Coturnix japonica: one gene and its partner. The protein of the gene in region 1 interacts with the protein of each later gene in a biochemical or structural test. Links are inferred from orthologs where the notes say so. Each region holds a gene or a part of one and is shown in the gene's direction. Other genes may lie near its edges. The genes, in order: SORT1 and BDNF.

Region 1 (16,937 bases):
CATTGCACTCAGTGCACACACAGCTCTCATCCATCCCAATGCTGTGCAGCCTCCTGGCTCGGGCTCCCCTCATGCAGGGATTTATGTTATTAAAGCACAAAGGATTCTGCTGGGAGCTCAGCTTGTTGGGGGGGGAACTGCTTGATAGGCAGGAGCTGGTGAAGGGGGGCAGACCTTCATGCCCTGCTCCTGCCAGGAAGGTTTGTGTGCCCAGCTCTTCAGCTTGAGCAGAAGGGATAGAGAAGCAGAAAGTCACCATCCTTGAAATGGTCCTTCCCAAACGCTGCGCTTTGATCTCTTGTTGATACAGTAGATCGCTTGATAAGCTTTTGAATTGACTGCCAGCGGCAGCTTAAGGGATTAAAGGGAAGAAGCAGGGAGAGCAGCGTGCTGTGGGAGTTAAAGGGCTGACACAACGGATGCTGGCTTTGGGTACAGCAGCGCAGTGAGCACGTGGTTTGTTTTACAGTCCATGACGCTGAAAGAAGCCATCAAGTCTTCCCTCGTCATCCTGAAGCAAGTTATGGAGGAGAAACTGAACGCAACCAACATTGAGGTAATTGGGGCTCTATTAGCAGAGTGCCCAGGGACTGTCTTAGGGCTTGGAAGTGTGGACTGGGAAGTGCTGGGAGCTTGCTTTGGGTTTCTGGATCCTGCAGCCTGGTCTGTGTGCTGGGCTGCCCCAGCAGTGCTGGTGCAAGCAGTTCTGAGCTGCAGGGCCATGGGCTGCATGTCAGGGGGGAGCACAGCCCCCCCTGCCCTTACACAGGCAGAACCAGCTGCTGTGCCAGCAGGATTAGTGTTTCTTCCCCTGTGTTCAGCCATTCTTTTTCTCCCCTGCTACTCGTAATATTAGAAGGAATGAAAATTATACAGCTCCCGGACTTGCTATATTCAGGCCGGGATGGTGGCCAAAAATCCCTTGGGCAGGAGGGCTGGAGAGGTGAAGCCTCCAGGCATGAATGTGCTGCTGCAGGCTGCAGCTCTCATAGGGCTCAGTGTGAGCCAGGTGTGGTGTCCCCACAGCCTCCATCGCTGGGCCCTAATGTGCTGCTCAGGTAGCGATAGTTCACATAAAAGCCAACAGAACCTTTCCAGCTCCTTCGTGATAACGGGCAGATGATGAGCAGGGCTGGCAGATAGAGTTTGCTTCTATTTCTGGCAGGCTCGGAGATGCCAGACCTTTGAGAATCACGTCGTTCTGACTCTGCTCCTGCTGTTCTCCCATTGCTGTCCTCCAAACACCAGGATTCCATTTCCCAAACAGCCTTCAAGCGTGCACCCCTTTGTCCTTATTAACTGCTGCTGGAGGCTCTGCTGATGAGCTTTAACTGCCTTCATTGGAGGGGGAAGGAGCCGTGCACCCCACACAATGATGCCAGGCTGTGTTCTGCTTCCCATTGCACACATTGCTCATTCCTGAGCAGCCTCACAGCTCCTTACAGGCAATGCTGTACAGTGCGAAGGAGCTGCATGTACAGTATCCTTATGGCACGTCCCCATTTGACAGGGCTTAACTGTGCTTGGCAGGGCTCTGAACCTATGGAGGAATCACATCGGGGTTAAGCATGGGAGGAATGTGCTGAGGATTAAAAGGTCACCATTGACTCAAGTCGCCCTTCTGCTTGGGGATCATTCACTCACAGAACCGCTTTGCTTTCCAGCTTTGTGCAGGGCTTTGCTTTTGATTCCCTCTTTCCTGTATGGGGGTTTTTCCCACTTAGCAGCAAAGGGGGATTGGGAACGTGGTGATGGAGAGCTGAACCCATGGGCAGCAATGGAGCCTGAAGCGGTGTTATGCTTTTATATGAGTGATTCCTTGCAAAGGCTGCAAGGGAATGGTTTGGTGGAGCTGTGGTTGGTGTGGTTTGGGATACCTGCAGTGGAGGTCCCATTGTGCCCCATAGCTCAGCCCCATAGAAGCTGGTCATTCACATTGTGCTGGCTGAGGGCACACATCACTCCCTGCAGCACACACACGGGGTGCTCCAGCTGCCATCACAGTGCTGGGTTATCTGTGCATCTCTGTGAGCTCCAGCAGTGCTTGGTGGGAGCCCTGCATGCATTCCTTTGGCAGCGCTGCTGCTGTGCAGCCCTCATGTCCTAGTGATGCGTCCCAGCTGCCTGTGCAGGGCGCTGTGCCCAGCTCTGTGCTGCTGTCACCCCGTCCTGTTGTACAGCAGGTTCCAAGGCACATCCCCATTGAGCAGGAACCTGCAGTTACTGGAGGTGGAGCTGCAGCACGAGGAGCTCCCTTATTACATCGTCCTGCTGGAGAAAGGCCTGAGCTGTCCCCAAAGCCATTCCCTGCTGCTGCTACTATGAGGAGACTGAGTCAATTCAAAGCTATTTCTGCAGCCAGCTGCTATTTTAGGGAATCAAAGAGCGCGGTATGGGCTGCACTGATCCTGCTGTGCTGGCAGATCAGGCAGCAGGGAAGGAACAGCTGCTGTGTCTGTGCTGCTCTGTGTTCCACGCTGGCACTCGACATACATGGGCACGTTTAACCCTTTGCTCCTTGTCTTTCAGCTCGCCACCATAGAGCCGGGCATGAAGTTCCACATGTACACAAAGGAGGAGCTGGAGGAGGTCATCAAGGACATCTGAAAGGGACACGGGCTCCTAAGGCTCATTGCCCCGATCAAAGTGAACTGACTCAGTTCCTCCCACTACCTGCCGCTTGGTTTCCAGCAGCATCTCACAAGGCTCCCAAAGGTGTTTTTTTTATTTACAGTCTGTACATAAACGGATCCTGACAAAGAGGAAGCGATAATAAATCATTTTGTTACTCTGTGCTGGGCTCTGTGCTAAGGGGGGGGGTTAACATGGAGCAGGTGAGGACAGCACAGCACAGCAGGGCTGCAACCCATGGCTCCCTCAACCCATGTCTCCCTCTCGTGGAGGACACAGGCTCCATACAGCCCCATGGCAGCCCCATGGCAGCCCCATGCCATACATGGGCCGTGCCCAGCCCTGCAGGTGCCCCTGGACTTTGTCCTTTAGGATCACACCCCTGTGCCAGGCTCGGGCTGTTGCCCCATTCCCTGCTGTGCTGCTCCTCGCCCTGTTTGTGTCCCCATAGAACAAAAAGCTGATTCTTCCAGCTGTTCTATGCTATAGAATGGTGCTTTGTGCCCTGCTCTGGGGCACGGCACTGCAGCTGGGGGGGTTTAAGGGCTGTCCCTATGGAGATATGGGGCAGCTTCCCCTTGGGGGGCTCCTTTAGGGCCTCTGTGTGTCCCCAGAGCTGCAGTTCTGCCCTAAAACTGCGAGTTTTGCCCCCAAATTGGCCATTGGGACCCCAAACCAGCTCCAAGTTGGGCGCTGTGTCCCCAGACTGGGAGCTGATGACCCACTGGTGCCCCATACTGGGGTTATGCCCCCAAACCCACCATTTATGGCCCCAAACCCACCATGTCTGTACCCCAAACCCACGACTTATGCCCCCAAACCAGCTGTACCCCATAGCCATGCTCTGTGCCCCATAACTATGCTCTGTACCCCATAACCATGCTCTATACCCCATAACCACACTCTATACCCCATACCACGTCTATACCCATAACCCACACTCTATACCCTAACCACATCTTCTATACCCCCATAACCCACGGCTCTATACCCCTAAAACCATGCTCTGTGCCCATAACATGCTCGTATACCCCATAACCACGCCTCTATACCCAAACCACCAACTTTCTATTACCCCATTTAACCACACTCTATACCCCATAACCATGCTCTATACCCCATAAACCATGCCTGTACCCCATAAACCACGCCTCTATACCCCATAACCACGCTCTGTACCCCATAACCACACTCTATACCCCATAACCATGCTCTGTACCATGCTCTGTGCCCCATAACCGCGCTCTATACCCCATAACCATGCCCTGTACCCCATAACCACGCTCTATACCCCATAACCACGCTCTATACCCCATAACCACACTCTATACCCCATAACCACGCTCTATACCCCATAACCACTCTATACCCCATAACCATGCTCTGTACCATGCTCTGTGCTCTATAACCACGCTCTATACCCCATAAGCCATGCCCTGTACCCAACCACACTCTATACCCATATACCACACTCTATACCATAACCCACGCTCTATACCCCTAAACCATGCCCCTGTACCCATAACCATACTCTATACCCCCATAAACCATGCCCTGTACCCAAACCACACTCTATACCCCATAACACGCTCTCTTTACCCCATAACCACACCTCTATACCCCATAACCACGCTCTTTATACCCCATTAACCATGCCCTGTACCCCATAACTACCACTCTGTGCCCCAACCCCACTCCTCGTGCCCCCCCCTCGCCCTGCTACCTGTCGCCTCGACCAATCAAAAAAATCCGCTCTGCCGCCCCCCGCTCCGCCAATCAGCGCGCTGTCGTTAGGTGGATCTGAGCCCATGGCCGGTCGATGAGGGGGGCGGGCTCGCCCCCATCGGACTAAGCACAGCGAGCCAATAGCGAGAGGAGGATGGCTGTGATTGGACACAGAAAGTGAACCAATCGGAAACGCCACCGCTGCGGACGCGGTTAGCCGGCGTTGAGCGACATCCTTAGAACCAACACGCGGCGGGGCGTGGCGAGAGGGGCGTGACGATGGAAGGCATATCCCCCCCGTTAACCAATGGGGTTGTGGCGGACGGGGAGGGGCCGGCGGCCAGGCCGGCGATGCGGGCGCGGCGGCGGCGGCGCCGGAGTCGCCATGGTCCCGCGCGGGGCGGCTGCCGGCTGGTGCGGTTCGGTGCTGGAAGCCCGGCTATTGGGGCTGGTGTCGGTGCGGCCGAGCACCGGCGGGGGGCGGCAGGAAACGGCGGATAAGCGGGGATTGGAGGGGACGTCACGGCCGTGCTGGGAAACACAACACGCAACAGGTGAGCGACGCGGGGAACGGGATGGGGACGGACGGACACCGGCGGTCACGGGACAACGGGACGGGACAAGCGGACACAGAAGCGACCGGCGAGGGGGAGGAACGACAGCGACAGACAGGCACAGAACAACATAACAGACCCGACAGACCGATTAGGACGACAGGGGACAGACGACAGACACCGGACAGACGGACAGACAGACAGGACCGGGCTGTCGGTGTCACCGTTGGACACAACGACACACGTTACAAGCCGGTCCCCCATTCTAACCCCCCCCCACCCCGCGCTCCCCGCAGGGCGCGCCCCGCTCTTGCCGCCCGGCCGGTCGTTAATTGCCGCTAATTGACACCCGGGAGCGGGATGTGGGCCGGTTGCTGCCCGGTGTCCCCCGTCCGTGTCCCCGCTCAGTTCGTTCCGTCCCGTTCTCTCCCTTTACCTTGTAAGGGACGCGCCGCCAGGCCACCGACCGCTGATGCGGGCTCCCCGGACGGCGTGACGGTGGCCGTGCCATTTATTCATCCTTTAGCGTGATCCCTCCCATGCCCCATTGCCGGTCCCCACAGCCATCCCCATATGCATCCCTATATCCATCCCTATATCCCCATATACATCCCTATATCCATCCCTATATCCCCATATACATCCCTATATCCCCATATACATCCCTATATCCCCATATACATCCCTATATCCATCCCTATATCCCCATATCCATCCCCATATACATCCCTTATATCCCCACTATCATTCCCTGATATCCCATATCATCCCTATATCCCATCCCTATATTCCCCAGTATACATCCCTATATCCATCCCTATATCCCCATATAACATCCCCATAACATCCCTATACATACCCCATATCAGTCCCTATATCCGGGGGGGGGCGGTGCAAGAGAGTCGAACCCCATAATACATCCCTATATCCATCCCTATATTCCCATATACATCCCGTATATTCCCAAGAAGCTCCATTCCCTATTTCCCTATACCACCCAATATAACATCCCCACATCCATCCCTATATCCCCATATTACATCCCATATAACATCCATACTATTACATCCCTATATCCCCCATAACATCCCTATATTACATTTCTATATCCCACAATCCATCCCCCAGTATTACATCCTGATCGCCCTATATCATCCCATCATTCCCCATGTGACACAATCCCTATATCGCATCCATCATACAGTCCCCTATATCCGCCATATACTCCCCTATAATTCCCCATATACATCCCTATAGTCCCCATATACAATCCCCACCATCCATTCCTTGTATCCCCATATCCATCCCTATATCCCCATATACATCCCCATATCCATCCCTATATCCCCATATCCATCCCTATATCCCCATATACATCCCCACATCCACCCCACACCCCCTTGATCCCCACATCCCCATGCCCTGTATCCACCTCCCATGGTTGGGGTCCCCCCCTGCCCGTGACCCCCATTCCCTGCTCACACTGAAGGCTGTTCTGTTCCTCCCCATCTCCTTCTCTTTCTCTCAGTGCGTCTTCGATGACCTCAGTGGCTCCGTGTCCCTGTCCTGGGTGGGCGACAGCACTGGGGTAAGATGTGCAGGGGGTGCCGCCCCATTGAGGGGCTGTGGGGGCTGCAGACCCCCCTGTGATGAGCTGAACACGCTGTGATCCCGCAGGTCATCCTGGTGCTGACCACGTTCCAGGTGCCCTGGGTGATTGTGATCTCTGGGCAGTCCAAGCTGTACCGCAGGTATCGATACACCCCCCAGACCCCAATCTAATGTGGGGAGTGGGGCCCTGCAGGCAGTATGGGCTGCTGGGGGGTCCTGGTGGTGCTGACAGCTGAGCCCTGTGCCGTCCCCGTACAGTGAGGACTATGGGAAGACCTTCAAGGACATCACCAACCTCATCAACAACACCTTCATCCGCACCGAGTTCGGCATGGCCATCAGCCCTGATAACTCGGGGAAGGTGGGAGCCCCACACCCTGCCCCAAACCCCCAACCCCAGCCACTGACCCCTACCCATAACCCAAACCCCTAACTGAAACCCCAACCCAACCCCCCAACCACTGACCCCTAACCCAACCCCCCGACTCCAACTGTTAACCCCTATCTCTAACCCATACCCCCAACCCCAACTATTGACCCCTACCTCTAACCCAAACCCCTAACTGAAACCCCAACCCAAGCCCCAGCCACTGACCCCTATCTCTAACCCAAACGTCAAACCCCAACTGTTTGCCCCTACTCCTAACCCATACCCCCAACCCCAATCATTGACCCCTAATCCAAACCCAAACCTCAAACTGAAACCCCAACCCCAGCCATTGACCCCTAACCCAAACCCCCAACTCCAACCATTAACCCCAACCCAAGCCCCCAATCCTAACTATTGACCCCTAACCTAAAACCCCAACTGAAACCTCAACCTAAACCCCCAACCCTAACCACTGACCCCTATCTCTAACCCAACCCCAACCACTGACCCCTAACCCAAACCCCCAAGTCCAACTGTTAACCCCTACTCCTAACCCATACCCCCAGCCCCAATCATTGACCCCTACCTCTAACCCAAACCCTTAACTGAAACCCCAACCCAAGCCCCTAACCGCAGCCACTGACCCCCAACTCAAACCCCCAACCCCAACCATTGACCCCTAACTCAAACCCTGAACTGAACCCCAACCCCAGCCATTGACCCCAAACCTAAACCCCCAATTGAAACCTCAACCCAAACCCCCCAACCCTAACCATTGACCCCTACCTCTAACCCAAACCCCCAACCCCAGCCACTGACCCCCAACTCAAACCCCCATCCCCAATCATTGATCCCTAACCCAAACCCCTAACTGAAACCCTGACCCAAGCCCCCAACCCCAACCACTGACCCCTAACCCAACCCTGAACTGAAACCTCGACCCCAACCCCTGCCATTGACCCCTACCCCTAACCCAAACCCATAACTGAAGCCCTAACCCTAACCTGTCCCCTACCTGTTAATCCAGCCCCTGACCCTCCCCCTGTCCCTGGCTGAGTTTCCCCTGGCGCGGTGCTGAGCGCGGTGCTGTGTCCCACCCCAGGTCATCCTGACGGGTGATGTATCTGGTGGCAGTCGCGGCGGCCGCATCTTCCGCTCGTCTGACTTTGCCAAGAACTTTGTGCAGACGGAGCTGCCCTTCCACCCCCTGGCACAGATCTCGTACCACCCCCAGGACTCCGACCGTCTGCTGGCGCTCAGCACTGATGTACGGACATGGGGGGGGATATGGTGGGGAGGGGGACGTGGTGGGCATGGGGTATGTGGGTGAGGGTAGGGGATGTGATGGGGATGGGGGATATGGTTGAGGTTGGAGGATATTGTGGGGATGGGGTCATGGTTGGGGATGTGATGGGGATGAGGATGTGGTTGGGGATGTAGTGAGGATGGGGACATGGTTGGGGATGGGGTCATGGTGGGGATGGGGGATGTGGTGAGGGAGGGGGAGGTGGGTGAGGGTGGGGGACGTGGGGATGAGGATGTGGTTGGGGATGGGGGACGTGGTGGTGATTGGAGACATGGTTGGGGATGGGGATGTAGTGAGGATGGGGATGTGGTCGGTGATGGGGACATGGTGGGGATGGGGTGTGTGGGTGAGGATGGGAGACATAGTGGGGATGGGGACGTGCTGTTGACCAGTGGCATTCATCACTTACAGAACGGCCTCTGGGTCTCCAAGGACTTTGGGGAGCACTGGGAGCTGATCCACAAGGCTGTCTGCTTGGCCAAGTGGTGAGTGCCCACCTGGTGGCTGTGCTGTGGGGTGGTGCTGCCCCATCTCTGCCCCCATCTCTGCCCCCATCTCTGCCCCCATCCCTGCCCCATCTCTGCCCCCATCCCTGCCCCATCCCTGCCCCCAAGCATTGCCCCCATCTCCTCCCCCATTCAACTGCCCCCATCTCTGCTCTCTGTTCTCTTCCAGGGGTGCAAACAACACCATCTTCTTCACCTCCTACCTGAACGGCTCCTGCAGTGAGTGCCGCCCCTCTGCTTTCCCATGAGGAGCGTGGGGCGCCCCATTAACCCGCTGCCCCTTGTCCCCTTGTCCCCAAGAAGCTGACCTGGGCTTCCTGGAGCTGAAGAAAACCACCGACTTTGGCAAGACCTTCAAAGTGATCGGCACCAAGATCTACTCCTTCGGGCTGGGCGGCCGCTTCCTCTTCGCCTCCGTCATGACCGAGAAGGTGGCTGTCCCCTCCCTGCGTCCCCCCCGTCAGCATACACAGGGCTGGGCTGAGGCTGTGGGTCCCACAGGGCTTCACGCGGCGCATCCACGTCTCGCTGGACCAAGGGGAGAGCTGGAGCATGGCACAGCTGCCCTCCGTCGGCCACGAGCAGTTCTACTCCATCCTGGCAGCCAACGACGACCTGGTGTTCATGCATGTGGATGAGCCAGGAGGTGAGTGGGGCTGGGGGGGGAATGGGATGGGAATGGGACAAGGATGGGGATGGGGTGAGGATGGGGATGGGGATGGGGATGGGATGGGATGGGACGGGGTGAGGATGGGGGTGGAGATGGCGATAGCATGAGGATAAGGTGAACATGGTGATGGGATGGGGTGAGGATGGGGATGGCATGAGGATAAGCTGAACATGGTATTGGGATGGGGATGGGGAAGGTGTGATGATGGGGATGGGATGGGGATAGCATGAGGATGAGGTGAACATGGGGATGGGAAGGTGTGAGGATGGGGATGAGGTGAGGATGGGGATGGGATGGGGATGGGAATGGGGGAGGATGGGGATGGCACGAGGATAAGAACATGGGGGTGGGATGAGGATTGGGGGAGAAATGGGATGGGGATGCAGATGGGGATGGGGATGGCATAAGGATAAGGACAACATTGGGATGGGATGAGGATGGGATGGAGAAAGGATACAGAAGGTGTGGGATGGCACAAGGATGGAATGAGGGTGGAGATTGGATGGGATGAGAATGGGGATGGAGACAGGATGAGGGTGATGTGAGGATGAGGATAAAGTGGGGATAGGATGGAGATGGGATGAGGATGGGAGCAGAGATGGAATGGAGGTGGAGTGAGGATGGGATGAAAATAGGGACGGGATGGGGGTAGGAATGGGGATGAGGATGGGGTGGGGATGAGGATGGGATGGGGATGAGGATGGGGTGGGGATGGTGTTGATGAGGTGAGGTGGGTTTGGGATGGGGTGGGCGCTGTGTGCAGCTGACACACCACATCAATGCACCATGAAAGCTGCTCTGCAGCACAGCGCCCTGAGCCGGGCAGGGCTGTGCCTTTGAGGAAGGACTTTTTCTCATTAATTCCCTCATGAGGAAGTTAATTAACGGGCAGTGGCTGCAGGGAAGCACATTCCTGGCATGGAGCGTGGCCAAGTGTCCACTGGGGGTGGTTTTCTTCCGTCTCCCTGCATGGAGCTGGTGGGTACACGGGGACCCCCCTCCCCATTACCACCACCCCATCGCCCCCCAGACACCGGCTACGGCACCATCTACACATCAGACGACCGCGGCGTGGTTTATTCCAAGTCCTTGGAGCGTCACCTCTACACCACAACCGGGGGGGAGACCGACTTCACCAACGTCACCTCTCTGCGCGGCATCTACATCACCAGCGTGCTGTCTGAAGGTGATAGCTCGGCTCTGGGGGGCTTGGGGGTGAATGTGGGGCTGGGGCTGTTCAATGGGGCCGCGCTGCCAGCCCCGCTGAGCCCCTCTGCTCCCTGCAGACAACTCCATCCAGTCCGTCATCACCTTTGATCGAGGTGGGGAGTGGGTTCCGCTGCGTAAACCCAAGAACACGACGTGCGACTCGACGGCGCGCAGCAAGGAGGAGGTGGCTCTGTCCTGTGTCCCCAAGCAGGGACACGTGGCCCCATTCTTACCCTCCATTCCCTCCTGGGGTGGGATGGGGATGTGTGGGGCTGGGGGTGTGTTGGGCTGAGCCCACCCTGATGCGTTTGCTGCTTGTCCTTGCAGTGCAGCCTCCACATCCACGCGTCCTACAGCATCTCTCAGAAGCTCAACGTGCCCATGGTGCCGCTCTCTGAACCCAACGCCGTCGGCATCGTCATCGCCCACGGTACAGGGGGGGTCTCCACGTCCCCATCCCCAACACTCAGTGCTGCTCTCATTTGTTGTATTGATGCTTTATTTCCCCCCAGGGAGTGTCGGGGGGGCCATCTCAGTGATGAGCCCTGATGTCTACATCTCGGATGACGGGGGGTACACGTGGGCACGGATGCTGGAGGGTCCCCACCACTACGCGATACTGGACTCGGGTGGTCTCATCGTGGCCATCGCACACAGCAGCCAGCCTGTCAATGTGCTGGAGTGCGTGGGGGGGCTGAGGGGCTGGAAGGAGGAAAGGGGGGGTGGGCAGCATAGGGAGGTGGTTCTGGGGGTCCTGGCATGGGGAGAAAGTGGGGGAGTGGGAGTCTGGGAGGTGTGGGGGTTGGGCTGGTGCCAAGGCTTGGAGGGTGGCTATGGGGATTTGGGGGGGTCTGGAGGTTGAGGTGGATTTTGGGGGGTTTCTGGTTGGTTTCTGAGGGTTGGAGGTGGGTTCTTGGGATTTGGGGTGGGCTGTGGGGTCAGGGGGGCTCTGGGGGTTGGGATGTGGAGGGGCAGCAGACACCTCCATGCTCCCATTGCTGCAGGGAGGTGGGGGGGGGGATCTGTTCCATCCCCTGAGCATCCCCCTCCCCTCGGCAGGTTCTCCACAGACGAGGGGCAGTGCTGGTACCGCTACACCTTTGCCAAAGAGCCCATCTTCTTCACTGGGTTGGCATCAGAACCCGGCGCCCGCTCCATGAATGTCAGCATTTGGGGCTTCCGCAGCAGCTTCCTATCCCGAAAGTGGGTGTCCTACACCATTGACTTCAGCCAACTGCTCAGCCGCAGCTGTGAGTGAGGGGGGAACCACCCCATGGTGACACATTTGGGGCTGAGGTTGTTGGGAGGGGAGGTAATGAGGAGGGGATATAGGGGGAAGGATGGGGGTGAGGGTGGGGGGGAAACGGAGATGGGTGTGGGGTGGGATGGGGGGTGAAATGGGGGTGGGGATGGGGGAGATATGGGAATGGAAGGGGCGGGGGAATAGGGATGGATATAGAGAAGGGAATAGGGGATAATAGGGATGGATATAGGGATGGGAATAGGGGAGAATAGGGATGGTGATGGAGATGGGAATAGGGGAGAATAGGGATGGATATATGGGGATGGGAATAGGGGAGAATAGGGATGGATATAGGGATGGGAATAGGGGAGAATGGGGATGGATATGGGGATGAAGGAGGGAGTAGGGATTGGTACAAGGGGGAATGGGGATGGAGATGAGGGGGATGGAGGAGGAATAGGGATAGATAGAGGGGGGAATAGAGATGGAAATGGGGGTTGATGTGGGTGGGAATAAAGGTAGGTATAGAAGGGGAATTGGAATGGAGGTCAGGGGTGGGAAAATAGGGATGGAAGTGTGCAGGGCAGGGAAAATAGGGATGGAGATAGGGATAGATAGAGGGGGGAGAAGGGACAGGTATAGGGATGGAGGGGAAATGGGGGAATAGGAACAGAAATCAGGGCGAGTGGGGATGAAAATGGAGGGGAATATGGATGGAGGTAGGGATCAATGGGGGGAAAGTAGAGATGGGTTTGGGGCAGGATAGAGATGAAGCCAGGGATGGATGGAGGGGAACAAGGGACACAGGGACGGGGAGGAGTGGGGATGGAAATGGGGGAAAATGGGGATGGAGATGGGAGGGGGGTGAGCAGGGACCCGCTGATCCCGTTGCCTGCAGGTGAGGATGAGGATTACACCATCTGGCTGGCGCACTCCAGCGACCCCCGCGACCCGTCGGACGGCTGCATCCTGGGCTACAAGGAGCAGTTCCGCCGGCTGCGCAAGTCCTCGGTCTGCCAGAACGGCCGCGACTACGCCGTGACAGCGCAGCCCTCTGTGTGCCCCTGCACCCTGCACGACTTCCTCTGGTACCGCAGCGCTGCCCCCATCGCCCCGCAGCCATCCCAGTGCCCCCATGTCCCTGTGTGTGATCCCAGTGCCAACATATCCCTGCCCACCCCATCCCAGTGCCACAGCATCCCTCCCACCTCATCCCAGTGCCACCCTGTCCCTGTGTGTGATCCCAATGCCACCCCAGTGCCACCACATCCCTGCCTCCCTCATCCCAGTGCCACCCCGGTGCCACCTTGTCCCTGTGGATGATCCCAGTGCAATGGCAGTGTCACCCCAATGCCACCACATTCCTGCCCACCTCATCCCTGTCCACCTCATCCCAATGCCATCCTGGTGCCACCCTGTCCCTGTGCATGATCCCATTGCAATGGCAGTGTCACCCTGGTGCCACCACATCTCTCCCACCTCATCCCAGTGCCCCCCTCTCCCTGTGCATGATCCCATTGCCATCCCAGTGCCACCATCTCCCTGCCCACCCCATCCCAGTGCCACCCTGTCCCTGTGCATGACCCCAGTGCCACCACATCCCTCCCCCCTCATCCCAGTGCCATCATATCACTGTACCTGATCCCACTCCCCCACATTCCCTGCTTTATCCTGCCAGCCCCAATGGGGTCACACCATTGGGGGGGTGCTGAACCCTCTGCCCCAAATCCCGCAGTGATTTTGGGTATTACCGCCCTGAGAACCAGTCTGTGTGTGTGGAGCAGCCCGAGCTGAAGGGCCACGACTTGGAGTTCTGCCTCTATGGCCGCCGGGAGCTGCTGCGCACCAGCGGGTACGGCCCCAATCCTACACCTCCATGGGGTACGGGGGGGTCCTGGGGCTCACAGCACATCAACCCCCCCACCCTATTTCAATCCAGGTACCGCAAGATTCCAGGGGACAAATGCAGTGGAGGTGAGAGCCCCAGCAGGGAGGAGACAGACATGAAGAAGAAATGCACCAGCACTCTGCTGAGCCCTGGGCAGCTGGTGGGTGCCACCCCACAACCCCACATCAAGGTGGCTATGGGGTGTGCTGACCCCAATGGGGTGACGCTGTGCTGTCCCTGCAGGCGGTGGCCCCCAGCCCCACACCCATCGTGCTGGCCGTGGTGGCCGTGCTGCTCGTTAGTGCTGTGGCTGCTGTGCTGCTCATCAAGAAATACGTCTGTGGTGGGAGGTGGGTCCCAGCTGGGAGCTTTGGCTCTGTGGGGTCTATAGGGGTTTGTAGGGTCCCAGTGGCCTGGGGGCCCCCTATGGCTTTGTGGGATCCTTGTGGTTGGAGAGTCCTTGTGGTCCCCATGGGGTCCCCATGGCTTTATGACTCCTATGACTGGGGGGCTTTGTGGGTCCCAAAGGGGTCTTTACATGGCAGAGGGGTCCCCCTGGCTTTGAGGGGTCTATATGACTTGGGGGGTCCCCATGGCTTTGTGGTCCCTATGGGTTCCTCTGTCTCTATATGATTTCCATTGCATTGGGGTCCCTATGGCTGGGGATACCTGTGATCCCCATGGGGTCTCTGTGACTTTATTATGGGGTCTCCTTGGGGTCTCCATGGCTTTGGGTTCCCTGTGGCTCTTGGGGTTCCTCTGGCTCTGGGGTCTTGGAAGCTTTATGGAGGGATCTATGGCTGGGAGGGATCCTTGTGGGTCTGTGAGGTCTCCATAGCTTTATGGGGTCCCTGTTGCTAGGGGGCATCCCTGTCATTTACAGGGGGTCCCCCATGGGTTTGGGGTCCCCATGGCCTTATAATCCCTCCTGGCTTGTGTGTCCCCATGGACTTTGTGGGACCTGACCTACCCATGGCTGGGGAGGGGGTCCTGCCAGCTTCCCACACTCACTATGGGATCCCCATGACATTATGGGCTCCTGGTAGTGCCTGGTTGCTCTGTATGGCCTTATGGTGACCCCACATCTCTGTCCCCCCCCTCAGGTTCCTGGTCCATCGTTACTCCGTGCTGCGGCAGCACGCTGAGGCCAGCGGCACCGAGGGGTTGGAGGCAGCAGATCCCCCCTCACCACCCTACAAAGGGGGGGGGTACCACGATGACTCGGATGAGGTGAGCCCCCCCCCACATATACACACCATGAGGACCCCCCCGGGCTGGGATCCCCGCAGTGACACTCCCCTCTTCCCCCCCCAGGACCTGTTGGAGTAGCAGCAACGCTGGGACGGCAGGAGCTGCACTGTGGGGCAGGCAGGGCTGGGGGGGCTGTGCTGGGGGGGGCACACAGCAGCATGGCATCAGCTCACCCCAGGGGCTCTTTGCAGCTGGGGGGGGGGGTCAGTTTGCTTTTATTTCATCTTCTTTTTTCCCTTGGTTTTGTTCTTTCTTTTGGGGGGAGTGGGCAGGGGGGGTCCCTTTTTGGAGGGGGGTATTTGGTATTTTTATGGGGTTTTTGTCTTGGTTTTTGTTGGTCTTTTCCCCTTGGTGCCCCCAGGCTGCAGGGCTGTGCCCCCCCCCAGCCTGCAGCACCCTTGGGGTGCCCCCCGCTCCCCACCCCAACATGGGGACCCCCAAGCAGCAGCACATGGGATGCAGGGGGTGGGGGCTCCCCCCATTCTCCAAAGCAATATACACTGCTGTGTGTGTGGGGGGGGTCCTCCCAGCCTTATCCCCCCCCCGGGGCTGCCCTTGGCCGAGGGAAACGTAGCAATAATGAATTCAGGCTTGAAGCTTTTTAACGAGGGGCTGGGGGGGGTGTTGGTCCCTGTCCCCCCCCTTTGCCCCCCCCCCCTCCCCAGCTCTGCTTTCACCCCGCCAGGTTTCAGTCCCAGCACTGTCACTGTCTCCTTACACTGGAAATCCCCTTCCATGGGATGGGGGGGGGTGGCAAGATTGGTGCCCCCCCCCCCAACCCCATGGTATCAATGGGGTGTGTGGAGGGGGGGGGCTGCTTGCATGCGCTTCTGCAGCACCGCAGTGGGGCCGGCGCATGCCCCCTCCATAGGGAGATGCCATAGGACCCCCCCCCGGACCCCCCCCCCCCCAACTCAGAGCTGGGTGGTTGGGGGGGGGGTGGGAGGGGAGGGGGGGCATGTAGAGCTCTGTAAATAAACCCGGATGTGTGATAACTTTATACCGGCATTTTTCTGTATATTTGCAATATTTTGGGTTCTTAGTAATAATAAAGGCAAAACAGACCCTGTGTGAGCGGTTCTATGGGGGGGGGGGGGGGGGGCCCCAAGGGTTTTTTGGGGGGGGGGGGGGGGGGGGGGGGGGGGGGGGGGGGGGGGCACCCAATGATGTTTGATGGGCTTGGGAGGGGAGGGGGGATTAAAAATCCCATCATTTATTGCAGATTAAGGCAACGCACCGTGGGCACACGACAGCCATGCACGTAGAAAAATAACTGGGGGGGGGGGGATGCCCAGGACCACCCCCTTCCCCCCCCCCAACTCCTTGCTGCAAAGGGGCAGCACAACCAGGGGATGGAGGAGAGACATGGGGGGTCCTGGGGACAGGACAGGACAACACAGGGGGTGGGAAGTGTCCCCCCCCCACCCAAAACCCCTATTCCCATTGGTGGGGGGGGGGGGCTGGCAGTGAGTGGCTGAGATTTACCCATAACCTCAGGGCAGAGGTCGGTACCTGCGTGTCCCCAGGTGGCCCCGGGGGGTTGGGAGGGTGGGGGGGTCCCGGGGGGTTCGGGGCTGGGGGGTGCAGGCTGTGGTTTGATGCCGTGAGCCTTCATGTAGGAGATGAACTGCTCGGGGATCTCAGCCAGCACATCCTTGGCCAGGCGGGCCATGCTCAGCACCTGGCTGCCCCCCCGGTCCGTGTAGTCACGGAATGGGACAAACTGGGGGGGGGAGGGCAGAGGATGGGGGGTTTGGGTACAGCCCCGTGTGTCCCCATGGCCTGGAGCATCCCCCCGTCCTACTGCATCCCCATATCTCAGTGCCCACCCCACAGTGTCCTGCATTACCCCACATCCCACTGCAGCTCCAGGCCATCATCCCCTCCTTCCCCAGCACCCCTCCATGTCTCCCCTAGTACCAGTACCCCCCCATCCCACTGTACCACTCCCAGCCCCACTGCACCCCATATCC
Region 2 (16,118 bases), on another chromosome or scaffold:
CCTGGAATGTGCTGCTGCCATGGTTTGAGACTTGGAAGTCTTGTTCCTTCTGTCTGGCATTTCTGGTATGGCAATAGGAGTATGGATGGCATATTACCCTACCCATGCTACTCTTGGTGAGTGTAAATCTGCTGGAAGCTGGTATTTGAAGAGGGCTTCCCTTGTGTAGCTTGATGTGGCAAACACATGGTCCCCTTATGGAGCTGGGTTTGTTTACAGTGATGATTGCAAACCCCTGTGCAGTTGGGGTGCCCCTTGTGTGGGATGCTGTACAAACAGCTGGAAAAGCAGGGTGTGTGCCATGGGCTCTACCAGCAACTCCCATTGTGAATGTATAAAAATAGTGCACATCTGTTCTCTTCTATGGGTGTTGTCTCTCTGAAAGCTCTGATACCATCTGTGAGCCTGGTCTGCTATTCCTTTGCCTGTGCATACTGCCAAAACTTATTGTGCCTGTTTCCTGGTATGGGCAGCTTGGGTCCAAGATCTGGCTGACAGAAATCCTGCTGGGAACTCCTTCAGACCTGCACTTTGCCAAGTAAACTGCAGGCACACTTGTAATGAAGAGCCTGGCCAGTCTGCTCATGTAAGAGCAGCTGAATTCCTCGTGAGAGTTTTGAAGCAAGTGTGCCCTTTGTATTGCTGTTTGACCACCCAGAAAGGCATGAGGAATGTTTGTAGGAAACTGGTGTGTAACTCCATGAAAGATCAAGAGTGTAATGTTGTGGCATTAATATCCCCTATTATTATCTTTGGGTTCTTTCCCACCTCTGGACGATGGGACAAGTTGTGTTGGGTTGGTTTTGGTTTGTGAAGGGGGGTTTGGGGGGGGAAACAACACGTGTTCAGGTTCTTCCTGACATGAAGAAGCAACTTAAAGAGTACAAATTGGGCAAGGGTGTCTATGTATGTATACATGGGGGTGTGTAGGGGGGGTGGTGCTTTATTTTCAGTAATAAAAATTAATTATACAGATGGTGTGAATAGCTGTGAGGATAACCGTAGTGCGTCAGACAGGCAGTTATGCATGTATTAAAGGTGAAGGCTGTTTGTTCTCAGCACATTAAGTCTTTGTAAAGCGTGTGCCGACATGCATCCCATTTTGGTATCTGTTCACACACTCCAGTAATGATGTGTAGAGTAGGAACTCGTGCCTTTGCCATTCAGTAGCATTTAGGAAACTGAACTTCTGCATAAAGGTCTTAGAAAATGGCAAGAGAAAAGAATTATCATCTTGCTGCTAATTTTACATTCCACTGTATGCTTCTTTTCTGGAGATGAAAGGATTCGGAATCTGCTCACTACTGAATGTTATTTCAACTTTCATGGCACATGTCAGGATGCAGAAAAGCAAGTTTATGTTCACAGTTTTCTTCAGGTTTTTCTGCTGGGAACAGAACCTGTTAAGCAATTAGATTTCTGCTTAAAATAAGGAAAAATAATGGAATGAAACAATTAGCTGGTGAATTCTCATTAAATGCTAAATACCAAGTAAACAGTGCAGATAAGTAATTGACTGCATATGTAAACTAGCTGTAGGTAATTGACATGACCTTCATTTAACAAGGCTCCTTCCCATTAGTGAAGACTGCTGCCACAATTATGTGCCTTTATTCTAGCTGTAATTGTATGGACTTTATTGAAGTACAAACTAGGTCATGTCTTCCTGAGATCTGGTCTGTGGTGGGTGACCTGTTTTCTTTGCTTCAGTTTCGTCATGCTGCATTAGAGGGGGAAGGATGCTCTGGCAGCCATGGAAATGGATAGCATTTAGGAAGCTGGTCTCAAGCATCTTTTTTGACAGACATCCTGTGTGACCCGAGGAAGCTGTCTAAGGCTGAGTCTCAAGGCAGCTAGCATTCATCTGTTTAAATAAATGCTTAGCTGGAGCATGCTGGGAAAATGGCAAAGTACAGATTTGTCTGGTGTTCCAACCCCTTTCCACTTCCATGCAGGTGATGTGGTGCCTGCCTCGTGATTGGCGGGGTGTACGTAATCTGTCAGTGTTTGGAGTTGGTAAGGCACCTATTGCAACCAGCCAGCCAGTGTCTTTAATCCTAGCAATGTAAAATTAAGCTTTGATAGTTGGGGAGTAGAGGAGAAATGACTGGAAGATGCTGTCCAGTTTGTTTCCAGTGCTGTGCTAGGATATTAGTCCTGCTCACTATGTGAGAGCTGAAATCATGCACACCCATGAGTCTGTTCGTGAGTAGCTCAAAGGCTGTTTCTATCCACAAAATGGGATTGTCTTAATCTGCTTACGGTATCTTAAACTACTAGATTCCAAGCAACTTCTATGAGAAGTTACAGCCTTTACAATGGAGGTGTTTCCTAGAAGTTTTATTATTTTACTCAACATGATTTCATTGGGAAACCTGAGGACCATGTATATTGCTCTAGTCGTTGTGAAGGTAGAGGAGAAGATTCTCATGTCCTGCTTGTCCTGTTCAGCTTCGTCTGCAGTTCTTATACAAAGATATATCTCTGTGTTTGCTTGCTAATGATATTCCACGTGTCTGCACTGCTAAACCATACTTTGACATACTTTTCTATTGATGTAAGTAGGAGGGAAAGGGGTGGCTTTTAAGATGGTCACATTTTCTTGTGAATAATCTGTCAAAGTTGTTGGTTTTCAGAGGCTAGTTGTACTTTTTTGTAGTACCTACCATAGTGACAGTCAGATATCGTCAGATGGGATGTAAATTGATCAAGCTTGACAGCAGTTTCGCTCCTAAATGGAGGGCAAAACCAATTAAGGAAGGATTAATTTCATGTTAGAGATAAAATGCTGCTAGATCCGGTGACCAGACAGCAATTGGAGGATGCTGAGCCTCCTGGTGGAGCTTCTCTGCACCTCCCTGCTTTTCATCTCTTGTCTTCCTTTTAAGTTTTTCTCTCAAATGAAGTTCTGTTGTTTTAGTCATTTTGGATCCTATCAAGTTCATGACTATCATAAATAAACAGCTCAGTGATAATGGGGAAGGATGTGTCCTGTTCCAGGAATTGCTGTATCCTTGGCTTAACTTAGCAAATACTTAGCCTCCAACAGGCAAACATAACTGATGGATGCAAGCTCCTGTTTGTTTTGTGCTTGCCTTGGTCCCTCCTGTGTTGTGTCCTGCCGCTGTCATGTTGGAGGGCCCTCTGGGTCCTGTGTATGTGCTCAGACACATTCTGTCCTCTGGAGTCCAGATATTGGCTGGGACTTTTGGGCACTACTCTAATAAAAATAACGACGACTTGATTAGGAGCCACCTGATCTGTGTTATGTTCAGTGCTCTGGTGGTCAGAGGTTGCAATACGGCTTGTGGTTTTTTTTAAAATTTTCCTTTTATATGAAAGAATTCTGAGAATTCTCAGAAGAGGGAATGTATGATTCTCGTTCCCACTGGCTCTGTCCTTTTATGCTAGCTAAACCACTCCATCTCCCCCTGTCAAGCCTCTCCACTTTTGACCAAGGAAGACTGATAGCCTTTTTCATTGTGTGGTAAATCATCTCTAGTGTCTGTTTCTTCCCTTTGAGGAAGAAATCTGATATTGCTCCCTGTAAAATGTGTTTTTAAAATCCCAGGATGAAAAATATGCAAAATATTAATGTTCTGCATGGTTAGAGCAAACACTGTGTTCCTGTGAGTCACAGATGTCAGGTTTGTTTAATCCTAATAAATCTATGCCACAGTAACACTTCCAAACAGGAAAAGAGGTGGAGGCAAGAAAGTGAAGTTGTGCTGGGAAGGAGGTGATTGTTAGCCAGAATTTGGTTTAGTAGGGGAGGGTTTGGGCACAAAAAGTATGTTGGTTTTCTTTTATTCCCTCCACCCCCCAACACTTCATTAAGTAGACTTTGAGACCCACGTGTCAGGCACTGCCTTTCTAGTACATATTTCATGTTCTTTGTGTGTTTTGTGATGGATTGTCTTTCCATGGTGGAGTCTGAAGAGTACAAGTTTCCCATAGCGTATTTGCAGGAGATGAAATAAGGCTTTTTACATAGCACCCTGCTGGCAAGCAGAAATAGCATTTACTCCAGTGAGTGCTGCCAAGTATGAGGTACTTCCGAGCGAACTTCAAAAGCTACGAAACAAGCATTAGCTGCTGCTTCAAAAATGTGAACAATGCTGTTGCTTTCTAGCAAGCAGAACTGGTGAGAGTGCAGATGGGAAGGAGGGAAATATAACCACTGGACATGATAGATGTTGTAGTTGCACTCAGGATCAGACTAGGTATAGCTCTGTGTCACAGCAGGATTTGAGGGACTCTCGTGATGGTATCGTAAGTACATACTCTGTTCTTCAGGAGGAAATGATTTATACCCTGAGAAACATATGGAGGCTTAGCAAAAAACATGGCTGCAGTTGTGCAAGCCCAAACTGCTTGGAGTGCTGGTAGGAATGAGTTTCACTAATTCCAAAGCTGGTGAGGAGTTTTCTTACTGATGCTGTTAGCTGGTGCTGTCCCTCTATGCTCAATGAAGAAAGAGCCAAGCCAATTGATAAGCTTCAAGGCATTGCCTGTAATGCAATCCAGAACTGGAGGCAGAATGTGAGAGAAACAAGGCAAGCTGCTCTTCGTTTGTATATGGCAACATGGTGTGGCCTGGCCTTGTTGTGGGTCTTCATGTGAAGCCCTTGGCTAGAATATACGCTTTGCCTGCTTGAGAATGGCTGATGTGGGGCTCTGAGGAAACACAGCACAGTGGTCCTGGTACTGTCATTTCAGTTTAGTGCTTTATCAGTGCTGTAATCCGGTATGTCCTTCCCATGGCATTCAAGTGATGCGAGCAATCTTTCCAGTTCCAGTTTAGTAGGGTTACAAGCACATAGTCCTGCATCATTTTCTTGTTCTATATTTATGTGTACATACCTTCTACTTTTAGTTGAAGGATTGACCTGGTGAGACCTCAGAGGTGTATGGCCTCTTCCTCTGTTTTGAGGATTGCTTTTAAAGTACAAATGCAGTTCATCCCGGTGCTGTTTTGTTTCTTGTGGATTTAACTATTTTTGGCATTGAGAGATCTTTAAAATAAAAGATTAAATAAATAAATAAACAAAGTATTTACCTTTCCACTTGAAAGAGGGGTCTTACCTTCCACACTTCTGAAGCTACCTTTTAGTGCTGAAGTGCTATGTTGCTAAATAGCTGTTCTGCTCTTGTTATTACTTGAATATAGGTGTAATCATTCAGTAAATAAGGAGTTAGTGTTGTATCTGATCTAAAACTTATCACAGCAAGGCATTGGCACATACGAACTGACTCACCATTATCCATGTTGCCCAAGTTTTGGCTTATGATTTATCTGGATATCTAAATTAAAGGAACACCTTTGTACCAGAGTATGCTTCTCCACTGATAATGAGTTGCAGCTGCACGCATGAAGTATATCTCTGCAGGAAAAGCATAATGTCTCATGACAGTTTAGGTGAATTTTGATGACTTTGTTTCTCTTAAGCTAATTTTCATCTTCTTTTTGTCCTCAACAGTTCCACCAAGTTAGAAGAGTGATGACCATCCTTTTCCTTACTATGGTTATCTCATACTTCAGTTGCATGAAAGCTGCCCCGATGAAAGAAGCTGGTGTAAGAGGACAAGGCAGCTTGGCTTACCCAGGTCTTCGGACCCACGGGACTCTTGAAAGCCTAAATGGGCCCAATGCTGGTTCAAGAGGACTGACGTCGCTGGCGGACACTTTCGAACACGTGATAGAGGAGCTTTTAGATGAGGATCAGGACATCCAGCCCAGTGAGGAAAACAAGGATGCGGACTTGTACACATCCCGAGTCATGCTGAGCAGTCAAGTGCCTTTGGAACCCCCGCTGCTCTTTCTGCTTGAGGAGTACAAAAACTACCTGGATGCTGCAAACATGTCCATGAGAGTCCGGCGTCACTCTGACCCAGCTCGCCGTGGGGAACTGAGCGTCTGTGACAGCACGAGCGAGTGGGTAACAGCAGCGGAGAAAAAGACTGCAGTGGACATGTCTGGCGCAACCGTCACAGTGCTTGAAAAAGTCCCAGTACCTAAAGGCCAACTGAAGCAATACTTCTATGAGACCAAATGCAACCCCAAGGGGTACACAAAGGAAGGCTGCAGGGGCATAGACAAGAGGCATTGGAACTCGCAGTGCCGAACTACCCAGTCTTACGTGAGAGCTCTCACCATGGATAACAAAAAGAGAGTTGGCTGGCGCTTTATAAGAATAGACACTTCCTGTGTATGTACATTAACCATTAAAAGGGGAAGATAGTGGGCTCGCGTTGTATAGATTATATTGAGACAAAGTTATCTATTTGTATATATACATAACAGGGTAAATTATTCGGTAAAAAATAATTTTATGGACTGCATGTATAACTGAAGTTTATACAGTACAGTGATTCCACGATCTATTTATTGAACATATCCATGACCTGAAAGGGAACAAAAGTCAAAGTCATTTGCGCACAAATTAAAAACAAAACAACAACAACAAAAAAAAACCAAAAAAAAAGAAAAAAAGAAAAAAAAAAAGCAAACAAACTTAAAAAGTCTGCATTACATTCCTCGATAACGTTGTGGTTTGTCGCCGTTGCCAAGAATTGAAAACAGAAAAAAGATCTTTAAAAATAATAATTTAAAAAAAAAAAGAAAATTGCATGCTGCTTCAATTGTGAATCGATGATAAACTGTCCTCTTTCAGAGAAATAAATCGAACCAAAACATTCCGTTTACATTTTAGACAGTAAGTATCTTTATTCCTGTTGGTATTATATCTGTTTACCGCTTTTACCTTCTGATAGCGTTGGAATTAAAACAATGTCAAGGTGCTGTTGTCATAGTTTTACTGTTTCTCTTATTTTTGAACTCCCATCAGATTTGGAAGGAAAAAAAAAAAAAAGAACAAAAAAAAAACCCACATAACCTTATTCTGGATTAAAGACAGATTTGGGTTTTGTTTCTTTTGTATGTTGTGAAGGTGTTTGCAATAGCAATCTGACTACTACTGATAAAAAAAAAAATAAAGAGGCAACTGAAAAAGAATGGTGATGTTCCACTTCACATTGTTGAACTTCAGGCTTAAGGACAGCACTTAGTTAACTGTCTGTCAACATGCTTTGCTGGGTTATTTTTGATTAAGTCGTTGTCTTTTGAGACTTGCCTTTCTTTATACCATATTTGTTTGTGTTTGGGGTCCCCTCCCATTTCCTCTCTCAAAGAAAGTTGACTGTGAGCTTTAGAGTATTTCACTCAGCATACAACTGGAGCTTGTCATGTAGAAAGTACTTTATGGAGTGTTGAGAGCGATAACAGTGTAATAAGTCTGCGCTTGGATCCAGTGTCTTAGCCAAGCGCAGCAGTGGTGTCCATAGAACAGGCTCTCAAACCCTCCCAGTGAATCAGAGGGCGGTCACGGCACTGGAGAGCTTGGTCATCTCAGTAGTGAGGAATGGTTTTGGTTTGACTGAGCCTGTCCAGATTGCATTTGTCTCTGAACCTGGTCCTGTGCATCTCCTCATGGAGGGAAGGCTGTGCCTTGCACATTGGTGTACATAGTGTGGCCTTGTGCTCCAGAGCATGTATGCTGGCCCCAGAGTGCTGTGATAGCCAGGGATGGAGGCAGTCAACACTTATGTACATGTCTACTTCTGCTGTCAGCCTTTGTGAAACAAGAGTTGGCATTGAAAGTAAGCAAGGAGCAAGGGCTGGATTTGATTGGCTTAACATCTGCTTAGGTTCTGACACTTTGTAGGTCTTGTGCTACCGCTTCAGTGATCCAGACAGAAGTAGTTCCAAAAAGGCAGGTTGTAAGCTTCAGAGCCAGGCATAGCACTTTATCTCGATACAGTGGGTGGAGACGCAGAAATAGCTCGTTAGTGAGCTCACTAAAGATAGATGCTGCATTTGTAAATCCTCTGGACAAAGTAGCTTGAGCAAAGAGGGAAATGCTTTAAGACATAAGTATTGTAAAGTCTGCGTTACTTGGTTTGTCTGCGGAGATTAATTAAAAACTGGACTGGGCGAAGCTAATTTGAAATATCAGCCCCCTTAATGATCTCATGTGAAGAATATATTTAACGCAGAATTGATATTACTCCTAGTAGAAACCCTGTCTGTTGGCTTCTGTGGGCTGGCATAGACACAAAGTGGTTTCTTCGTAGGCTAAAAGGGCTTTCTTTTGCCAGGCTGTCAAAGTAGAGTTATCCTCACTGTAAAAAGAACTTTGTATTTTGTCTTGACTGCATGCTTGCTGGGCTGTGAACAAGAAGAGAGCACTATGTGACCTACTTGAGCTTCAGACTTGAGGCATTCCCACCTAAAAATCAGCATTAAGAAAATCCTTATGTAGACTGGACGCTTGTGGGGAGGGAGAGACCCATTTTTCTGTAGCCAGGATGTTTATGCATATTCCAATCCATGGCATTTAGTAACCTGAACATCGCTTGGGTGCTGTTGTTCTCGGCAGTGTTTCTGAACGGCTGCAGAGGGACAGTGTGGTGGTAGCCTAACTCACAAGCATGCTTTGGTGAATGTAAGGAGTGACAGATCATCAAAGCTAACCATGGGTTCACCTTCAATTCAGTCATTCTCACCTGGAATAGGTCCCAGCGGTGCTTGTTGCAGGGTAGAAATGGTTTGATGGTAGGGCTGAGTGCTGCTGTTAGCTCCCTAGGTGAGTAATTGAAATGAATAGGGCTTCTCATAGAGTAGCTTTGTATTTAAAGTAACTCAAAAATGTAACCCCCGTGTTGATACAAAATGGAGAAAAAACACTTTGTATTATCTTTAGGAGCAGGGACTGCAACTTTTGGTACGTACACAAACAGATGGCTTTTGCTCTTCAGTGGCTTTTCTGGCAAAGCCACCTGATGGAGTGTCTCCTCCCATCCTTTCTGCTTGTGTGCCGTTGGCTGCTGAGCTTTCCCCACTGAGTACACCCAAAGGAGCAGCCCTTGTGTGTGGGGAGAACTAAGGAACAGCAGCGAGAATGTAGGGAGGAACCTTGCTCCCTGCAATCTGTGTGTCAGCTGATGCTTTTGACACGGGTATAACGTGAAATTGGTAGTTCAAGTGCAGTCCTATGGCTCTCGTTTGCTTGACCCAATGCAGACATGATCGCAGGCTCAGTTCAGTTAACAGAGTTGGGGGCGGGGGCTTGGTTTTCTGTCATGTCACTTAATTGAAATCTTGCTGTGGTCTGTTTGTGACAAAGGTATATCATGCATGTCAGCAGGCCTAGTGCTGTGTTAAGTAAAGACTCTTGCAAATGTAAGTTCATGTCTGTGGCCTTGTTCTCTACTATTCACCTTGTGTAACATAAATATTTATTGTATATTTATATAATTTTATGTTTTTTGGAAAAAAGAAAACACTGAAATTGGCATTAAAATTTAAAAGCAACTGCGTCATATTGTAAATATAATTAAGCTATATTTAAGTGTACTGATTAATATAATATATGTTTAACTATAGAGTTTTTTATGTTTTTAAATATATTTTCAATATATATATATATAAAAAAAAAACTTGGGGTTTTTTGGGGGACCATGTGACTCTTTTCTCTAACTGTAAAACAAACTCGAGTTTTACTATAAAGATGTGTGTTCTTTGTTCTAAAACAATTTTTACTTTATTTTAGCAATAAAATCTCCCTTGGAGGGCAGATAGCCACCTGTTTCGTAGCTGGACAGTTAGCATCGGGAGGGGAGTGCTGGCAAGAATTTGCTTTCCATAAAACATGAGGATGCTCACAACGGATATATTTCCATCTCTTTCTAGCCCATAGGTCCTCGTGAGACTAAAAACCCACAAATGACAAATAGGAATGGTTTTATTCAGCTGCAAAAATAATGGCTATAATGGAAGCGTGTTGGGGAGTCACTACTGTGAATAATAAACAGGTACGTGAGGCCCAAGTTCCACAGCTATAGGCCGGTCTCATGCTTGCTTTTTAAGTGGTGTCATGTATATTTATATCCACAGCACTGAGGTTAGTTATGACCCCCACACAGTACCAAGAGTGGAATTCCTCAGATTTAACATACTGTTAGCGTTTCTAAAAGAATATGCTCTGCTAGAGCTGCCAAACCCTTGTATATTCAATTATCCCATAAGCCTAGAAAAATCAATAAATCTTTGTGATGAATAGAAAACTTCAATATTACTTGAAGGAGAAAGGAAAACCAAAGCAACTTCTCTTCAGAAATTTCCCAAGAGATTGGTGCCAGTACCATCACCGCAAGAACCTAGGAAGCAGTGCTTCTGCAGATGATCATTTATATTAAACACACATGCACATGGGCTCCCTGCCTTATTGTTATCCTAGCATAAGCCAACAGAAGCCGTAATAGATAGGCAAACTGCTGCTGACTGGAATGATGGGGCCTTGTCTGGTGTCACCATCCCTGGAGGTATTCCAGAACCATGGGGATGTGGCACTGTGAGTTGTGTCAGTGGGCATGGTGGGGTGGACTGTGGTTGGGCAAGGGGATTTGAGCAGTCTTTTCCAAACTTTGTGATTCTGTGATTCTATGCCAATGATGCGTCATGCTTGTGCCTCACTGCGGGCCTTCCATGGTGCCAGCCTTTGCCCAAGACAGAAGCGGAGATGGGGGAATACACTGAGTTGTCTTGTTTTATGTATATATGGCACAGGTAACTAAAGAACAGATGGGCACCCCAAAACCTTTATTTGTACCCAGCAGCAGGTGGGAAGGAAAAGGGTAATTCCATAGCTGTTATCACTTGGAGCAAATCTCAAGGCACATAGTCAGGCTTTTAAATTACCCAGCCGGAGAAGAGTGGCAAACAGTGAAAGGTTTTTGAACAGAGTAGCAAGGCAATATTCAGGTGCAGTGAGAAGGTGAGGAATTGTGTATCAGTTCATCCCAGGTGGATCCGGTCCACTGCTTCCACAGGGCACCTCCCTTAATTAAGGTGTCATTGAGAAGATACCTTCTGTCAGGGCAATTAAAACAAGAAAGGGAAGGAATGCACTTACTTGAATTAAACAGGAGCAGCACTGAGGTCTCACCTGAAGTTGGGGGGGTTCTGATGCGGGTTGGGGAAGATTAAGAAACTTATCTATTTAATTTTAAGCAGTTGCTACCACATAGGGTAGCTAAAGACTGTGGGATTGATATAAATCAATGGGCTTGAACTGAAATGTTTTGGGGTTGATTGGTGGGGCTTTTTTTATTATTTTTATTGGTGATAGGTTGGGCTGGATGATCTTAGATGTCTTTTCGAACCTTGGTGATTCTGTGATAGTCTGAACAGCCTCTAAGAGCTGAGGGTGCTTGCTGCACCAAATATTCCTTTAACTGGCTTCTACACTGAATATTTTAAACTATAATGATAAGGTTCCCAATTAGATTTTTTTTTATTCTGACCTTTAACTAAAGGCCACTCTGCTGGGAAACTCATTTTTGCTCTAACCCCAGCATGTTCCTTAATAGAATCCTCACTATATTTGGACTCCGGCCTTGGGAATCTGTTATTTAAAAACAATGAGAAGTCAATATGGCCGTGTTTGTGTAACAAAAATAGTGCTGCCACCTTAGCCTTTCTGATTTAGGAAACAGCCCTGTGAGGCTATGCTGCTTTCAGCTCTGCATTCTGTCTTCAGTGGATACACACATGTTTCATGTACAAACTGGTATAGCCCTGACAAAACTACCTCCTACTTTCTTTCTCAGGGCAGCGAGGCAAACACCCAAAAGGGACTATGGGAAGAAAAGTATTTCTTCTAAATGCTTATTGCCAGCAGCTTCCCAAGGACCTGGTAGCCTTACTCTGTGTGGAGACCCTGGTGGCAGCCAGCTCGTGCAGCGGGGGTCACAGGCAAATGGGCACAGGAAACACGGGCATAAAGCACCAGGTTGTTGCCCATGGTTAGAGGTGGCAGGATGGCTGTGGTGTACACCTCCTCCACATTAAAGCAGATTCCAGGCATAGCTCTGCATGTCCTTACAGCTTATAATGGTTGCCTGCATGGTGATTCTAGGAAATAATGAGGGTAGAGTAGTGCAAGCAACTGCTATAGAAGCTAATCAGCCCCGCCTGCCTCTGGAAAAATAATACAGTGCATGGGCTGACAACCTGAAGCCTTGCCTGAACTTTCAAGGCAGGAAGTTGGTACAAGAAGATGCTAAGATAAACAGTTTCTGGGGCAAGAAACAATTTAGAGGTCTGCAAGCCATTGCCACATCACAAAGTCACTTTGAGGACCGCAGCCTTCTCAGTTGCGTGCTTCCTAACGCAGTCAATATCTGCGGTTTCTAAGAACTGGTGCAACACCCCAAACAAAGGACGTGTCAGGCATTACACATGGCTATAACTGCAGAACATTCTGCTGAAGTATAATTTACAGTTGGGTGAAAGGCTGCCAGCGTGGCCACCTACACACCAATGTGTCGGAGCACTTCAGAACAAAGCTGCAAGCCCGGATATCTCTGAATCTTTCCCAGAGTTTATACTCTGCTCTCTTTTAGAGTCATAGAACTATTAAGGTTGGAAAAGGCCACTAAGATCTTCTAGTCCAACTGTCAGCCCACCACCTCCATGCCCACTAACTTGGTCATTTGATGTCACATTAATTCAATAATTTAAATACAAGATTTTTTTTGTCAGCTGCAGAGTCTATCTTTGCCCCTGCAAAGGGCCAGGTATGCAGAACTGAGGGGCTTGAGGGCTTGATAAAGCAGTAGGGAATGGACCTAGCAGCTGCTATTCCACACTGTGTTGGTTTGGGCTTGATTAGGCCAGAGAATTTCTGGCTGTTGGCTGCTGCCAGAGCGCAGGGCAAGAGAAGTGCTCTGGGCTCTTTAGAAAGGTGGCTGACCGCACTGCCACCAGGGCACGGGCTGCTCCACTGCCTGCGTGGCTGCAGCTGAGACACAGAGCCTGGCCTGGCCCAGGGGCTGCTGCCACCCCAGGGCACCAGCAAGGCCCTTCGCCAGCTCTTTGCAGGGCTTCATGTGGCCCTGGTGCCTCCTGGGTCAGCCTTTGCACTCCCACACGGAGCGAGTTCAGCTTTCTGGTAAATTAAAGCCAGCCCAACGGTCTGGTTTGGATTTACATGAATGTACTTGAAATGCAGTTCGCCTCATGGATCCCACAGGGATAAGAAACCCACAGTGCCTCGGTTTTGCCGCAGACTTGATGTGCAGCCTGGGGCACATTTGAGCTCCCCGGCTCCGCTTTCCCATTCATTTTGTCTGGTTTTTGTTCTGTTCGCTGGTCGCTCCTATGGCGGCTGAGGTGGGTGGCACATAATGCCATAAAACGTTTTGAAGCTCTGCAGATCTCAGCATGTCACCCAAGGCGGAGCTCTGTTCCTTCCACAGACGCACATTAACAAATATTTGTTCCTTGATATTAAAATATCTACGTTATAAATACACTGTGGTATAAATGGAACCATACGTTAAGGAACCGAACAAAAAAATGACAAGCTGGGTGAGTCACCGGCTCGGGCACATGCTGTATTGGTTGTCAATGCAAATGTTGGCTTTGTAGGATGATTTTATTTATCCAAATACACGCACCATGCCCAAACTGGAAATACTCCCACCCACAGGGCATTTAAAAAGGATGCTCAGAATAACTCCCCTCCTGCAAAACTAGAACTCTGTCTAAGAGTGGAGGATCGAGTGCACTCGAGGATTGAAATGAAGGAAAATGTGGGTGCCAGACGTCAGTTCTGGCCGCACAGAGCAACACTGCATCATTTCCCCGTGAGGCCCCTCTACCTCATCTTTTCTTGCACAGGGCTGGGCACATGATGTGAATATGATCTTGCATGCTGTTGCGTAGGGCTCCTGGTCAGCCAGGGACCAGCACATTCTGCCTGTTTTTTGCTGCAGATACTGGGGCCCGATGTAGGAAGGCATGCAGGAGGCAGTTTAGAGCGGGTCAATGGGAGTCCAGCACAGGCCCTTGGTCAGATGGTCAGACCTTGTGGCTGTGAGTTTGACATGGGGATTTAGACAGGAACAGCCCTCACTCGGGCTTGTTCATGCTTGTGCAGTGCCTGGAATGGAGGCGCTGTGGTGAGAAGCAGATGTCTCCCTGCACAGCTGTTACAACATCCCCTGGGTGCTGTGTGCAAGCTGCCCATCCCCACCCTCACCCCCATGTTGGGTGCCATCCCCAGTGCGCTGTTGTGCAATGGTGTTTGCATCATGCCAGTTCTGAAAGCCTGAGCTATCTATAGAAACTGGAGTGGGGAAAGAAAGAAAAGAAAGAAAGGAAAGAAAGGAAAGAAAGGAAGGGAAAGAAAAGAAAGAAATAAAAAAAAAAAAAAAGAAAGAAAAATCTGTCTGCTGATATAAGAGAATTGACATTTCTGGTTCTTTGAGTGCTTGGCAACGCGCATCACTCAGAAACCCAGAGGTGGAATTCCCAATGTGCTGATCACCTTCTGGCTGCTTTCTTCTAACCTGGCTGTGGGGCTGCCTTGTAGGTTCACCCAGATGTACCCATGCCAAGCACTGTACCACGAGGAATATGCCTGCATCCCCTCCCGTTTTCCCCCAGCCAGCCTGACCCACCTTCAGACCCCAGCTGCTCAGCAGCCAGAGACATCAGGGTAGCAGAGTGGCACCAGGAACATTGTTCCCATAAGGCACAAGCACGTGTTGCTTTCATGAGTGCTCTGACCAGATACGGAGAGCCTTGACACATGCACACATGGGATCAATATAGCAATCAATTAAAATCAATGGTGGAGGCATTGTACTGAAGGTATTATTTATGATACATCTAGCCATAAAGTGAAAAACCAAGCCTATGGGGTTTAGGTGGTGTATGCTGTAATTGATGGCTCAATTACAGCATACCTGATGCACGACACTGATCTGTTCCATTTTCCTGGTAAGGTCTGTCTCAGTTTCTCATTGATCACCTGCAAATTAATGTCCTGCACAAGCACCATGGAACATGGCAGGGCATTGCTTCAGCACTAACAGTGCTTTCAGGAAAATGGAGAAAAGAAGTGCTTGTTTGTTTTTCCTAATGGATCAGATGGCCTTTTTAAGAGATTATTCCTCTCTGCTTCTCTTATTTAGCTGTGTGGTCGTCTGGGATTCACAGCAGTTTCTCATTTTTTTCACTTCCAGCATTTGAGTAGGGTTGCTGGCCCTTTCTAGTCACTGCCGTAAGGCATTGAGCAAGGAAGGAGGAAAGCCCTGCTTCCATCTTGGCAGCTGTTTGCATATTGCCTAGGTTACTGCTGACTGGAAAGGGAAGAGCTGACAGCTGCGGCATCCCAGGTCTTTCCCAGCCGAGTGATGGGCTGTGAAATACACAAAAGGCAGAGGAAAGCATCAATAAAATGAAACATCTTCGCTGTTCGAGCAGCTGACCCTCCACACTCCTGAATTACTTGTTCCCAGGACACCACTGAGGGGTACTTGGGCACTGTACAGTTGGTTGGGTGGAGCATTAAGAGATTTGTTCAAGTCTCACTATGAAGCAATGGCAGAATTGGCCATGTCTAATTTCTTTTCCAGACTGACCTATCATCTTTAAGTTCAAATAAGAAGATTCTCACATCCCACTTTCCTGTGTTGCAATGAGGAAATATGGTGCCTGCAAGGAAAGTGCCGTAGGCAATCAGCACCTTCTGGAAGCACTGAAAGCGATGAGGGCAGCTCTGCCGAGTAGGCCAAAGCAACTTTAACCTCCTAGTGCTTATCGTAGGCATGCAGGATCCTCCCCCACCATGTTCAGCCCTGCTGGAAGTCCCCACTGCTAATGGGATGAGAACCACCAGCCTGGTAGAGAGAGATGGAAAACTGGTGGGCATAGTGCCATAGAACTTCTGCACCATGGAAGACCATATAACTCACACTGTGTGTGGTGCCCTGTATGTACCTGCTCCGCTTCCTGGGATGCTCTTGCTGTCATCTCTCTCCTGATGCTGAATTAGGGAACCTAAAATGTTCAATGTAAGCTGTAAGAGAAACTGTTGATCACAGCCTGAACCTCTGATTAACCACCTGAGGCAAGAGACAAGTCAGCTGCAGGAGCACAGGTGAAGGTAAGCTGTGCTCCTGGAAGGAGTGAAGCTTGACTCCACCTCTCCTAGATCCCATTTAAGGGCTGACCACCACTAAGGTAGCATCTCTTTCTGGAGGTTGCT

Evidence for each region.
Region 2: the proteins of SORT1 (region 1) and BDNF form a complex in vitro, tested with the Homo sapiens proteins (2 studies listed by BioGRID and IntAct, with this or other methods). The link is inferred for Coturnix japonica from reciprocal best matches to the Homo sapiens genes SORT1 and BDNF.

The regions. Positions count from the first base shown.
Region 1 is NC_029541.1:1,571,929-1,588,865, reverse strand, and holds SORT1 (sortilin), read left to right. Parts: upstream 1-6,312; 5' UTR 6,313-6,327; coding exon 6,328-6,498; intron 6,499-6,587; coding exon 6,588-6,661; intron 6,662-6,779; coding exon 6,780-6,882; intron 6,883-7,993; coding exon 7,994-8,158; intron 8,159-8,608; coding exon 8,609-8,682; intron 8,683-8,872; coding exon 8,873-8,922; intron 8,923-9,003; coding exon 9,004-9,134; intron 9,135-9,204; coding exon 9,205-9,349; intron 9,350-10,403; coding exon 10,404-10,559; intron 10,560-10,659; coding exon 10,660-10,766; intron 10,767-10,909; coding exon 10,910-11,012; intron 11,013-11,094; coding exon 11,095-11,263; intron 11,264-11,641; coding exon 11,642-11,832; intron 11,833-12,723; coding exon 12,724-12,913; intron 12,914-13,560; coding exon 13,561-13,677; intron 13,678-13,764; coding exon 13,765-13,873; intron 13,874-13,956; coding exon 13,957-14,063; intron 14,064-14,816; coding exon 14,817-14,943; intron 14,944-15,027; coding exon 15,028-15,042; 3' UTR 15,043-16,033; and 1 more. Other genes in the region: PSMA5 (proteasome subunit alpha type-5), read left to right, coding at 470-556, 2,530-2,607; copine-8-like, read right to left, coding at 16,178-16,687.
Region 2 is NC_029520.1:3,052,305-3,068,422, reverse strand, and holds the end of BDNF (brain-derived neurotrophic factor), read left to right. Parts: intron 1-5,480; coding exon 5,481-6,242; 3' UTR 6,243-6,993; downstream 6,994-16,118. UniProt on the Homo sapiens protein: Important signaling molecule that activates signaling cascades downstream of NTRK2. During development, promotes the survival and differentiation of selected neuronal populations of the peripheral and central nervous systems.